3 linked regions of the Lepisosteus oculatus genome follow. The protein of the gene in region 1 binds, or shares a complex with, the protein of each later gene. Links are inferred from orthologs where the notes say so. Each region holds a gene or a part of one and is shown on either strand. Other genes may lie near its edges.

What was found.
Region 2: the proteins of f2 (region 1) and fga are in contact, whole or in part, in a crystal structure (PDB 2A45), measured with the Homo sapiens proteins. The link is inferred for Lepisosteus oculatus from reciprocal best matches to the Homo sapiens genes F2 and FGA. Residues at the interface, in NP_000497.1 of Homo sapiens: Phe382, Lys384, Ser385, Gln387, Leu423, Arg425, Tyr434, Glu439, Lys440, Ile441, Ser442, Met443, Lys470; in NP_000499.1 of Homo sapiens: Trp52, Pro53, Phe54, Cys55, Ser56, Asp57, Glu58.
Region 3: the proteins of f2 (region 1) and fgg are in contact, whole or in part, in a crystal structure (PDB 2HWL), measured with the Homo sapiens proteins. The link is inferred for Lepisosteus oculatus from reciprocal best matches to the Homo sapiens genes F2 and FGG. Residues at the interface, in NP_000497.1 of Homo sapiens: His450, Pro451, Arg452, Arg461, Arg486, Ala489, Ala490, Leu493, Ile530, Val531, Glu532, Arg533, Cys536, Asp546, Asn547, Met548, Phe549, Cys550, His605, Phe607, Arg608, Leu609, Lys610, Lys611, Trp612, Lys615; in NP_068656.2 of Homo sapiens: Pro439, Ala440, Glu441, Thr442, Glu443, Tyr444, Asp445, Ser446, Leu447, Tyr448.

Annotation. Positions count from the first base shown.
Region 1 is NC_090716.1:4,326,073-4,329,826, forward strand, and holds the start of f2 (prothrombin), read left to right. Parts: upstream 1-1,075; 5' UTR 1,076-1,133; coding exon 1,134-1,209; intron 1,210-1,793; coding exon 1,794-1,954; intron 1,955-2,993; coding exon 2,994-3,018; intron 3,019-3,754. UniProt on the Homo sapiens protein: Thrombin, which cleaves bonds after Arg and Lys, converts fibrinogen to fibrin and activates factors V, VII, VIII, XIII, and, in complex with thrombomodulin, protein C. Functions in blood homeostasis, inflammation and wound healing.
Region 2 is NC_090696.1:24,649,306-24,653,059, forward strand, and holds the start of fga (fibrinogen alpha chain), read left to right. Parts: upstream 1-1,016; 5' UTR 1,017-1,072; coding exon 1,073-1,126; intron 1,127-2,694; coding exon 2,695-2,814; intron 2,815-3,743; coding exon 3,744-3,754. UniProt on the Homo sapiens protein: Cleaved by the protease thrombin to yield monomers which, together with fibrinogen beta (FGB) and fibrinogen gamma (FGG), polymerize to form an insoluble fibrin matrix. Fibrin has a major function in hemostasis as one of the primary components of blood clots.
Region 3 is NC_090696.1:24,641,001-24,644,754, forward strand, and holds the start of fgg (fibrinogen gamma chain), read left to right. Parts: upstream 1-927; 5' UTR 928-982; coding exon 983-1,054; intron 1,055-1,139; coding exon 1,140-1,184; intron 1,185-1,363; coding exon 1,364-1,547; intron 1,548-1,781; coding exon 1,782-1,866; intron 1,867-2,266; coding exon 2,267-2,397; intron 2,398-2,600; coding exon 2,601-2,734; intron 2,735-2,815; coding exon 2,816-3,000; intron 3,001-3,754. UniProt on the Homo sapiens protein: Together with fibrinogen alpha (FGA) and fibrinogen beta (FGB), polymerizes to form an insoluble fibrin matrix. Has a major function in hemostasis as one of the primary components of blood clots.

The sequences.
Region 1 (3,754 bases):
GGGAGTCATCCAATATTTGCACACAAATATTTAAACAGTGAGGCCATGAAGGAAAATCAATAAACAGCCCTTTTTTGAGCTGCTGTTCCTGCTATCGTTGAATCCACTAAAGAACTACATTCCCTGCTTGTTTTCTTTTCAAATTATTAACAATCAAGTGGGATACTGAATAGTTGAAGTAGACATTTTGCATACTAATCCAGTTTTGTTAATTGTATGAGTCCATGGGGATGTTAAGTACTTCAAGGCCCTTGCTATTTGCATGTATTTTAAAATTCCTGTTATGCAATTAAGGGTGAAAAAAAACAGGGGCCCTGGTTCTGGTTAAGTCAAGCCCAGCTGCAAACAAAATGACTTCAAGTCCCATGAAAATGTTTACTTTGTGTAGTTAATTAATCAGATAAACCTGTTATTGGATTGAAAACTAACAAAAGCTGGAAGACAATGTATTCCTCTGGAAATTTATCCGGACAGCCCTACTTGCATGATAATCACCCGTGTGGCTGTCTGGTCAGGGAGGGTTAACATAAGTGAGCCAAGAAACAACCGCGTTGTGTCGCACGACGCCATGTTAATCAAGCATTTCATTCTTTTAAAAGCAGTGATTGAGCAACTCCAGGATCCTGCGATCCGATTCCTGTGTGTTTGACAAGTGCTTTGGAAATAGAAACTGAAAACCCTAAAAAACGGTGATTTGATTTTCTTATCCAAATAATGGGTTCAAGTTGAGTAAGATCAGAGGAGAAATGAAATCGGGGGAACCAGAAGATTTTAAGCACTGGGATTGCCAGTTAATTAACCCACCCCTATTCGAAAGATGGAGCAAAAAGCTTTGTAGTTAATTTCATCACAAGCGCAGTGCTTTTTCCTTTAGATATGGTCACATTAGAATTAGAAATAAGGTGCAAGTAAACACTGTTATAATACATTTTTTTCATGGCCACCTTTAGAATTGTACTCTGCCTTTCACTATGAACAGGAAGCGATCAGTGTTCCCAGTGAATTGTGACACTCTTCTCCTCTTGGGATTCTGGATTCAATATTAACCAGGAGGCTGAGCTGTTTTTTTTTTTGGTGGTGGGTGTCTGTAGGTTTGTCCCAGCTCCCTGTTCAGGCTCTAGACATCAGTAGCAATGGGTGGAATGTCCGTGGTTCTCATTTTCAGTGTCCTGTGTGCATCTTTTGTCCAGATCTCTCTTTGTGAAAATGGTAAGATTTTTTTTTTTCCGGCTGGGGTGTTGATTGTCCATTGCTTGCAAGTCAAGGCTGGTTTTTTAGTTCTGCTTGAGAGTCTCAGCAAAAAAGTGAAGAAGTGTCCTCTTAGTTAAAGATCATTACAGGGCGGACACATAGTAACATGGACTGTGCGCAGATGGTTTAGATTTTATCTGATTTTCGAACACCCCAGAAAAAGAGTAAAAGCAGGAACATTTTTGATTATGTCCTGCAGAGATATGACAGTTAACATGATGGCTGCCGAGAAGACAGCAAAGTCCGTTAAAGTTTCGATGTCTTGATTGTAAGCAACAATCCCAAAAAATCCTTCCAAAAATCTGTCTTAAATCCAACCAAGTGATTCAGCATTGTGAAGATGTAGATGGAGGCCTGTATTCTTTACATTTGATTTTCTTGTGTAGTATTAACAGTGTGAACAGGGTAATCATTTCCCCAAAGAAATCAGCAACAAAGTTTATATAATCTATCGTGTGAAATGACCAAAATTTTTTGACATGGTTTTTATGTAATAATGGCAACTTCACATTTTCCTTGCTATTAATTTTGTGGGATCTTAGTATTCCTCAACAGACAGAAAGCGTCCATGGTTTTGACCCGTGGCCGGCGTGCAAACACCGTTTTTGAAGAACTTAAGCCAGGCAATATGGAACGAGAGTGTCTGGAAGAGATCTGTGACCACGAGGAGGCCCGTGAAATCTTTGAGGACAACACCCGGACAGTGAGTTCCCAAAATTTACAAAATTGCAAACTCCCGTTTAGATTTCTTAAATTTACTTTTATGCTGAGGGTCTTTTAATCGCTCATAATGGAAAATTTTGTTGTGCTCTCTCTTCAAATCTCACGATATCCTAAAATGCGCATGTCAAACACAGAATACTAAGTTGGCAAATATATTAGCCTCATTGTCTTAAGCACATATTGTAAAGGTTACTGAAATGAAACAGTAAGTAAGCATTTGACCCATCTGGCTCATTTAGTTGGTAGTAGTGAAACTAACAACATTTAGTAGTTAGAAGGTGATCTAAGGATCTCATTCCAGCTGTTTTCTTGAACGAATCCAAGGTGTCAGCTTGTACAGTGTGGCCTTGTTCCAGAGGTTTCTCCTGGTCTTCAATGCACTTCTCAATAGTTTTTACTCGTGTCCTCTGAATTCTGTTTCACTGTTAGCTCTCAGCTCAAGTCCTTGTGTTTGGGTTCACTTTTTTTTTTACTGTATTCCATGTACATCTTGTTAACAGTTTTTATTTGGACTCCTCATCCATCCTAGTTTAAGTGTATTAAACGGTCTCTATAGGTCCTTACCATAAGCCAACTAGTGTCCATCTCATTCAGATGTAATCCATCATGCCTGTAGATCTGTTTTTTGCCACAGAATGCTTTCCAGTGGCACAGAAAGCTGAGGCCTTTTTCAGCACAACATACTGTATTCTCAGCTGTGTGTTGTGTTCATGGGTTGACATCTGCAGTTGGTCACCTTTATTTGCTGCAGGCCTTGTCTCTGAGGAGGCTACTGGTGTTGTCCTGCTCTTCAGGTTTGATCTCCAAGGCGGTTTGAAGTTGTTTCTCGGGGAAAGTGTGTTGTTTGTGCCAATGTCATTGAGTCACCACCAGCCTTTGCTAGGAGCCCGTCTCCTTTTAGGATAATGTTAGCCACATTAGCTACTGGGTGACAGGAAACTGTTTGTCGTCTTGGACTTGACACTGCATCTTGGAATAATTTAATTTATATTTGCTTCTCTTTATTTTTTTTTATTCAGGCAGACTTTTGGAAAAAATATTTGGGTAAGGATTGTCCCCCCCTTTCTTAAATTCATGTCTTCCAAACTCCACAAAATTTTAACTTCCAGATTAAAAAAGGATTGCTGTTATTAAATTAACGCTATAACAACTGCTGAGCCCCAAACATATAATTATAAGTAGTTCAGGTGGGTAGCAGCGTCAGCATGCGTAGTCTGCAAAGGAACAAGCGATAGGTTTATTCCATGCTGAAAAGAGAAGAAAAAAAACACAGCGTTTTGGCTTTGAAGCCTTCAAAACGTTGCGTTTTCTCTCGTCTCTTTTCAGCATGGAATAAACCTATCACTTGTTCCTTTGAATATAATTATAATACATAATAATAATTTGTTTTGATATTTGTTGTTATCTAATATAACATATTACAAAATATAGAATATTTGTTATCAACAATAAACTGTTTATGTCAGAAATATGTTTTTTTGTAATTCAAACATAGGATTGCTGTTTTCTCCTTCAGAGTTCTTCATGTCAATTGAATGATAACTGAGCTACAGTTCATGATATCAGAAACTGAACATCACACGTTAAAATACCTTTAACGTGTTTAAGTTAAATGACATAAAAATGTCCCCTTGAAGATCATTTATTATTTTTTAATTTAAATCAATGTCTTTCTGTGTTCTTATTGTTTGTATATTTCTAAATGTGAATGGTATTAGTAAATTCTAATCAGAAGGAGACTGTCATCTACATTGATGTGATTAGATGTATTTAAATGTCA
Region 2 (3,754 bases), on another chromosome or scaffold:
TTTCAGTTAGAGAACATTATGGTCCAGAGCCTCAGTGATCCTTGGGAGTGTAGAAAATAAACAAATGTAGTTTAAACCCTTGTAATTAACACAAAATATTAATGTGACACTTCTTCTTTCTTGAAAACACTGGCCAAACAAACTAGAGGCTTCAATAGGACTCTACTATATTACCTCTTAATCATGCCCCTGCCTCAACATCCTATAGTTTTATTAAAGACAGGTGTCTACAGGATATGTACTGTAGATAGGGACTGTATTCCCTATATGTAAAACCCTTGTGTGGATCCTAGATGAGTGCTCACTACAATCAATTGTCAAAGAAAATCTCCAAGAAAATGTCTAGATTAATGTGTAAAAACTAATACATTATGATTTAGGATATAGTGTCTTTCACTTTCTTATCATCAGATTTGGCTTTAACTAACAGAACTGGTAAAAGAGCAGACATTCTTATGTATAAAGCCGAAGTTCAAAATATTTAACAAAAAACTTGATTGTCAGCAAATACATTATTTAACTTCTCGTAAGTGATCAATAACCAATGATTCATTCTTATTTAACACACAGCAAACAACCTTAAGTACGGTACAGCAGTATTTGTAAACTGTTGACAGACATTTGTCATGTACCATTGACCAAGGAGTTGTTCAGTATTCAGATATGAGACATAATGTTTCCAGACATTAGAACTCATTAGTATCTGAAATGAAAGGGTGATGTCCTGTGTGGGTGTTCAGGTATCTCTCTGTGTGCTTTTGGAGGCATTGAACGTACATGCGCATCCAAGTACAAAGGTCTCAAACATTGCAGCAGCCCACTATCCAACTTTTTAAAAAATCTTAAAATCAATAGCTGAGTCCTGTGTCAGAAAGAACATCAGGGCAGCCAAAACAAATCACCTCAAATTGTGCAAGAAATTTTTCTTTAATCATTTACTTACGTGTGCTTGTTAGCTTGGTAAACAGTGGTAAATTGTCAGCAAACTTTGATTTGTCATCAAGGGTTCAAATTGGATACATATTCAAGCAGATCTGACATTTCAGCTCGCTTTTTGACACCACCAACAACAATGGGGCAGTTATACCACTTATGCTGGTTACTTATAGTCTTCTCTACAGCAAAGGTGAGTGCTTTTTAAAAATGTACTGTATGCTCTGACTTGATATTGTTGGTTTTATTCAACGATCACAGGTAACTTTATTATTAAGTGATATAAAGGTATTTTCCTATGCATTTAAGACATTGTTAGGTTACACTTAATAACACAGATTTAGAAAGCAAATAGTAAATACTTTTTTAAAGTGCTAATATTTCTGTGTAAGAAATTATAATGAAAAGGTTAACAAGTGAGTTAATTTAAAAAGTAGAGCTTTTATAATTTAGCTTATACTTTGAACATATTTCAATATACTTTCATCACCTGTTCTCCCTAATCTACCCTCTGGAATATCTGGTGGATATTATGAAAAGTGAGCTCTTGTGTGTATGAAACCTTTAGTAATCTGTTTTCACAAACTGTGTATTTAATTAAGAACTATAAACCAACTTTTCAGTTTTCTTTTTTGAGTATGTTAAAACATTTACTGCTTGCTTTTCATAACGTGTTTCAGAGTATTTTCTTCCCTTTGTTTTTTATTCACATTGGATTTGAAGGATTTAGGAGAAGTCTTGGTAGGATTCTTGATTTCTTAAATATATGAGTTACCTTTCCATGTTTCTGGTACATATGGATGTCAAATTTGTTCCAAGTACTTTTGAATTTATTCATTTAGGTGTATCTTATGCTGATTTGTTGCTCAAACACATTTATTGAAATAATGCGTACAATCAGAATTAATAAGAGACACGCCTCTCCTCCAACAGGGGACGAATCTCTGACAGGGGACTGTGGTGCCAGTAAAAATATGTGTGGCTTGATAGGGGGCGGGTCAGAAGAATCAGTCCTCATTCTCTCCTGTATGCAATGGCGAGGTGTATAGGTGCACAATTATTCCAAGTTGGGTAGATATAACAAGAATTGTGATTCTAAATTACACACTGTATTAGAAAACACATGCCATTTAGGGTAAATTCATTTTGACTAGTTTCCGCAGTTCCTGGATAGTTTACTTGTATTGACAGTTTGTGCAATTCATTATTCAGTTGGATCATTGTGTTCCATGTGGATTGTTCAGTTGTTCAATCAAGAGGATTTTTTCGTTTTCCCTCAGGATCTACCATATACGGTATATCAGGATCATAAGAATGTTTTCATTCACATTGAATTACTTAGTACTGAAAAAAATGTAAAGCTCTTGTAATGTTCTTAAAATATGGGAACATACTGAAAAGGTATGATGATATTGTTTTCCAGATTTATGTACATTTTGTGCATTAAACATAGGAAACATACAGTACTGTAAGTTACTTGACACACAGACTGGTAAAAGGTGACAAATAATTGTTTTGCATGTGAACTCGTGTTATGCACCAGGCACAGAACTCTTTTGCCAGATGTTTTGCACAATGCACAGATGCACCACACACAAATATGATGTGCCATGGAAGTATTACCATTATATTGTTAAATAACATTTTACATTTATAGAGACACACCCTTTCACACAATACTAGCAATCCATGCTAACAGGTGCATTTGGGAAAATGCCATAATATATGAGTCATAAGGTTTAATTCTTTAATGATTTTCAGCCAGAATCCACGTTTCACGAAACTGGCGCCAGTGGAAGAGGACCCAGACCAGTAGAACATGGCAGCAAAGCTGCATGTGCTTCTCAAAAAGAGTGGCCAATCTGCTTGGATGAAGACTGGGTACGGTTTTTTGTACAAAGTCTTAAGTTCCTGCTTTACCTTGCCAAGAAAATGCTGGTTCATCAAACAACCTTTAAATGATACTATCAGAGAAGGTCCAAATGGCATATGCTACTCAATGATTTAAATGTCTTGGAATTGGTGTTTTGCGATATAATAATCTACCTATTTTCAATAGCTGTTTAGTATAATACAGGTCTGCAATGAGAAAGAACCTAATCCAGCAGGCAATGGAAAAAAAAAAAACAGAAAACAACCTGGAAGCAATGCCAGTCCATCACAGGGATCACAGGGCAATTAATTGAGTCCACTGATTACCCATTTCAATCACCCATTGAATACCTATGTGGGCATTGAGCAGAACATGTAACATTGAAACAGAGTGTACTCCAGGCCTAATTATGAAGACAGGATGCAAGAGCTGTGAGACAGCTAACATGCATTCCCCAAATATAATCATATCAATTATTCTTGCAGAAACATTGAATTAAGCCTGTAGTCCCCACCAAGAGAGAAAAATGCTATGCCAATTTTGTATATGAAATGTTGTCAAACAGGTATATTATGAAAGATTTTCAACAGAATACACAAGTCTTGAACTTCCAAAGTAAGATAGCTGAGGTCTTTCTGTTAACATTCTTCATCCTCAGACATGAGCTCTTGGTGTAAAAAGCACGAGAAGATGAGGGTGAGAACTCTCATCAAGGATTCTTCATTATTCTGAACACATCCATGTCAAATCAATGTAATAGTCATATCAGGTCTTTTATTTTGTTTTATTGGTTGTATCTGAGCGATACAATAGAAATAATCTCAGATAGGTTCTGTACCTATTTCGCCTGTTGTGCCTGGTTATAGTCAATACATGGCTGTACATCATGGTAGCGTATGTCAAACAATGAAACAATATTTTTTATTCAAATTGGTAGGGTCCCAAATG
Region 3 (3,754 bases), on another chromosome or scaffold:
CACTGTGTAAGAGCCGGCGTACCAGAGCGGGTGACATCACCGCCCTTCCCTGTGATAGCAGGACCACAGCTACTGGGCTGAAGAGAGATCTCTCTTTAGCTCACGGGGCTAGGTCGCTGCAGAGAGACGCGGAAGTCCCGGGTTCGAGCCTCCAGTCGGGATGGGGCCGACCAGATGCGGCAAGGGCGCCTGCCTGAGCCCCCGTTGAGTTACAATATGTAGTTAAGCCTGCAGCCTAAATCCACTGAATATTCATCCACTTGAGACACCTTGCTATTGGCTTGTATATGCATCCTAAGCAATTCCTGATGTACAGTAGTCCAAAACTGGGCCTTAGGTCCCAGAAGCTCTCATTCTTTGTCCAATTGAATAGGTTCATAATTCTCACCAACACACAGCCTATGGGTGACACTCCTGGAACTGCTGCAGGAAGCAATGGAAGCAGTCAGGTGTGCTTGTGAGTGGTGAAAGCATCTCACTGCTGGCAAAATGTCTCTATGGTCCACTAACACTACCTCACTGGAGCTGCCACTGGATACACTAGGTTTTGAACCAATGGAAAAAAAACATTTCTCAGAGCTTTTTACAGTAATCATGATACTGTTAGATCACACACATGTGACAAGTCTCGTAATTTAGTTGGTAGTTGGAAACTGTGTGAACTAATACTCCATGTAGCTTTGTATATAATTACATATTTGGTTATGTTGGCTTTTGAAGAAGTATGGGAACTATGATTTTTTTTAATAAATTGCTTACTACGTCTGAATAAGTACGTTTTCGTAATTCAGACTGACAAAATGTTCTCCAAACAGAGTGAGTAACTGGGATACAGTGACAGCTGTCAATACAACTGACCTCAGAGATTATGCACCTCCCATTATCTTGGGCTGCATGGAGAGTACAGATCAGATAAATTTCGTCTCCCTATTGAGACATTTCACTTTTCACAGAGAAGGCAACAAAGACTTTTAACTACAACATGGGGGTGTTGAAAGCGCAGACTTTCTTTCATATAACCCTTTTTGTCCTTATGGTTTCGTCAAGTTTGGCGGTAAGTCATATTCCATTTCAGAGAAAATCGATGTACTGTATGTAAAATTAAAACGTCTCTAAATCGTTATGCTTTATTTTCCTAGCAATATTCATCGCAACCGGAAGTTTGCACCCCAAGTGATAACTTCGTAAGTTAGTTTTTTTTACTCAAGGGCCTATGTATCACTATTTGTAAAAGTTTTATACGAAATGTTGACATTAAATGACATTTATTTTAATTATATTCTATGGCAACGTGATGCTGTTGTTGTTGTATTGGCGCAACTTTAATTCTTTGCTTATTTGAGGGTTTGTTCTGATTTTACAGGGGCGATATTGTCCCACAACATGTGGAATCGCAGATTACCTACAGCGATACAAACCCAGCGTTGATGAGGATCTTAAATACTTGGAGAATTTACTAACCCAGATATCAAATTTAACTAAAGGGGCACAGGAAACTGTAGTATACATGAGAGACTCCAGTACAGCTGCGCAAAAGTCTTCACCAGGTAAAGTGCATTTCAATGGATACATCGCTGAAAGATTATGATTAGAATGTATTATACATATAACGCTACTAACGCTAGTAAATGCTCTCCCAAAACAACATTGTAGACATTATAAGACTATAAGTACCATACTTCAGAATCGACTGACATCGCACAACTTAGTCAAACTTTATTGTATTAGGACAATCATACCCCATTTCTATTTTTATCAGACAATTGTTTTCTTAATTTCAGATAGTTACATAAAAAAATCAAGCAGCATGTTGGATGATATTCTGCGATTTGAGAAGAGTATTGTCTATCAGGAGGGACAGATATAGTGAGTAAATTGATTGGTTTTGTTTTGTTTAAGATGCCTTGAAGTTAAAATCTCGTTTGGTTGTATTGAATGAAATAATGCTACTTGAATGGAATAATAATGCTAATGAAAGCAAATAACTTAATATAACTTAAGGTGTGGATATTTGCTTGCAACTCTACAGATGGACAGAAGTATTCTCGCCAGGAATATTGTATTGCAGTATTTCACTAGAACATCTTAAATTCAATTTGCTAGAAAAAAATCAGTAAACTAAGAAGAGATACAGTATAACTTCCTTGTAGCTGTCATTTAACAAATTACATTTATTGCATTTGATAGATTGGTGAAAGGCATTCTTTTAGTTGTATGGTGCCATTTCAGTTACGTATAAATAACTCTGTTACTTATTTTTTCCTAGTGAGCTCCAAAATATTATAGATTCAAATGACAAGAGAATTTTGCAACTCAAACAAATGGCTCTCAACCTTGAGCAATCTTGTAAACAGCCCTGCAAAGATACTGTTGAGATTCAACCAACTACTGGAAAAGGTATTTTGACAAATGTCAGAATTTTAAATTGGTTCCTAAGTAAACAGAAAACATTTTTGTTGTCCTGTATTATTTAAGATGATTTGGGAATATGTATTTTTTGAACAATGGTATATCATGATAACATTCTGTACTAAGCCAGTGGTCAGTGTTGCTGCTACTCATTTTATTTCTTTCTCTGCTGCATTATTATTTTCTATCAGATTGCCAAGACATTACCAACAAAGGTGCCAGGGTCAGCGGTCTGTACTTTATCAAACCAGTAAAAGCAAAAGAACAATTCTTGGTTTACTGTCAAATAGACAGATTTGGGAATGGTTGGACAGTCCTTCAAAGGGTAGGTAGAATTTAAATAACTGTTTATCAAAATTCATTTGCAATACATGAGGAAAAATACATATTTTTCTTTATTTTTTAGAGACGTGATGGCTCTGTGAATTTCTTCAGGAACTGGATTCAGTACAAAGAGGGATTTGGTTACTTGACTCCAGATGATACGTCTGAATTCTGGATTGGGAATGAAAAAATTCATCTGATTTCCACCCAGTCCAGTATTCCATATATTCTAAGGCTTGAGATGACAGACTGGAATGGCCAGACAAAGTACAGTATAAAATAATATAATGAAAAGATTGAGAAATGTGGTTATTCTGCAAAGATTAAGAGGGTGATTCTTTTGATTTTCAGTTCTGGAGAAAAGTGGGATGGCAACTTTGCTGGGAATTATAGTAAACATTTAAATGCAAATCTACATACAAATGCACAAAGTAGAAACATATAAAATATGTATTTTTTCACTTAAATATAACTCAAGAAAACAAAGGTGGTTTTAGGAGTTAGGAAAGTCAGGGCTATGTTTTCATATCAGGGCATGAAAAGCTGCGTAACCTGGTCATATTTGAGAAGTCTCCGCTGCATGGTTTTTATACAACAGAATTTCTTGACTACTGTATATCCATAAAACGTGCTTAGTTGTCAGTTTTATTTATGAACTGAATAAAAAATATTTGAAGTACTTCAATACATCTTACTTGTAAATAGTTGTCTTAGCTATCTTAAATAATTAGTGAACATTTTGAAGTGCGGAGTTCTTGTGAAACATTGCACTTTGATCCATATTACATAACGGTTGCTTATTCTATCTTAAATATGAGGTGACACCAATTTGACCTTGCTGTGTGTACTGGCTGTGCCAAGTTAAAAACAGTTTACTTTGCTGAACAGTTATATGCTGTACACTGCTTCGCAGGGAAGGTTTTAAAGCATCTATAGATAATTGCACTACACAAGTCTAAAGTAATGGGATCTTTATTGGCATGTATTGTGGGCTAGCATACATTTTAAGAATATTTAAGTT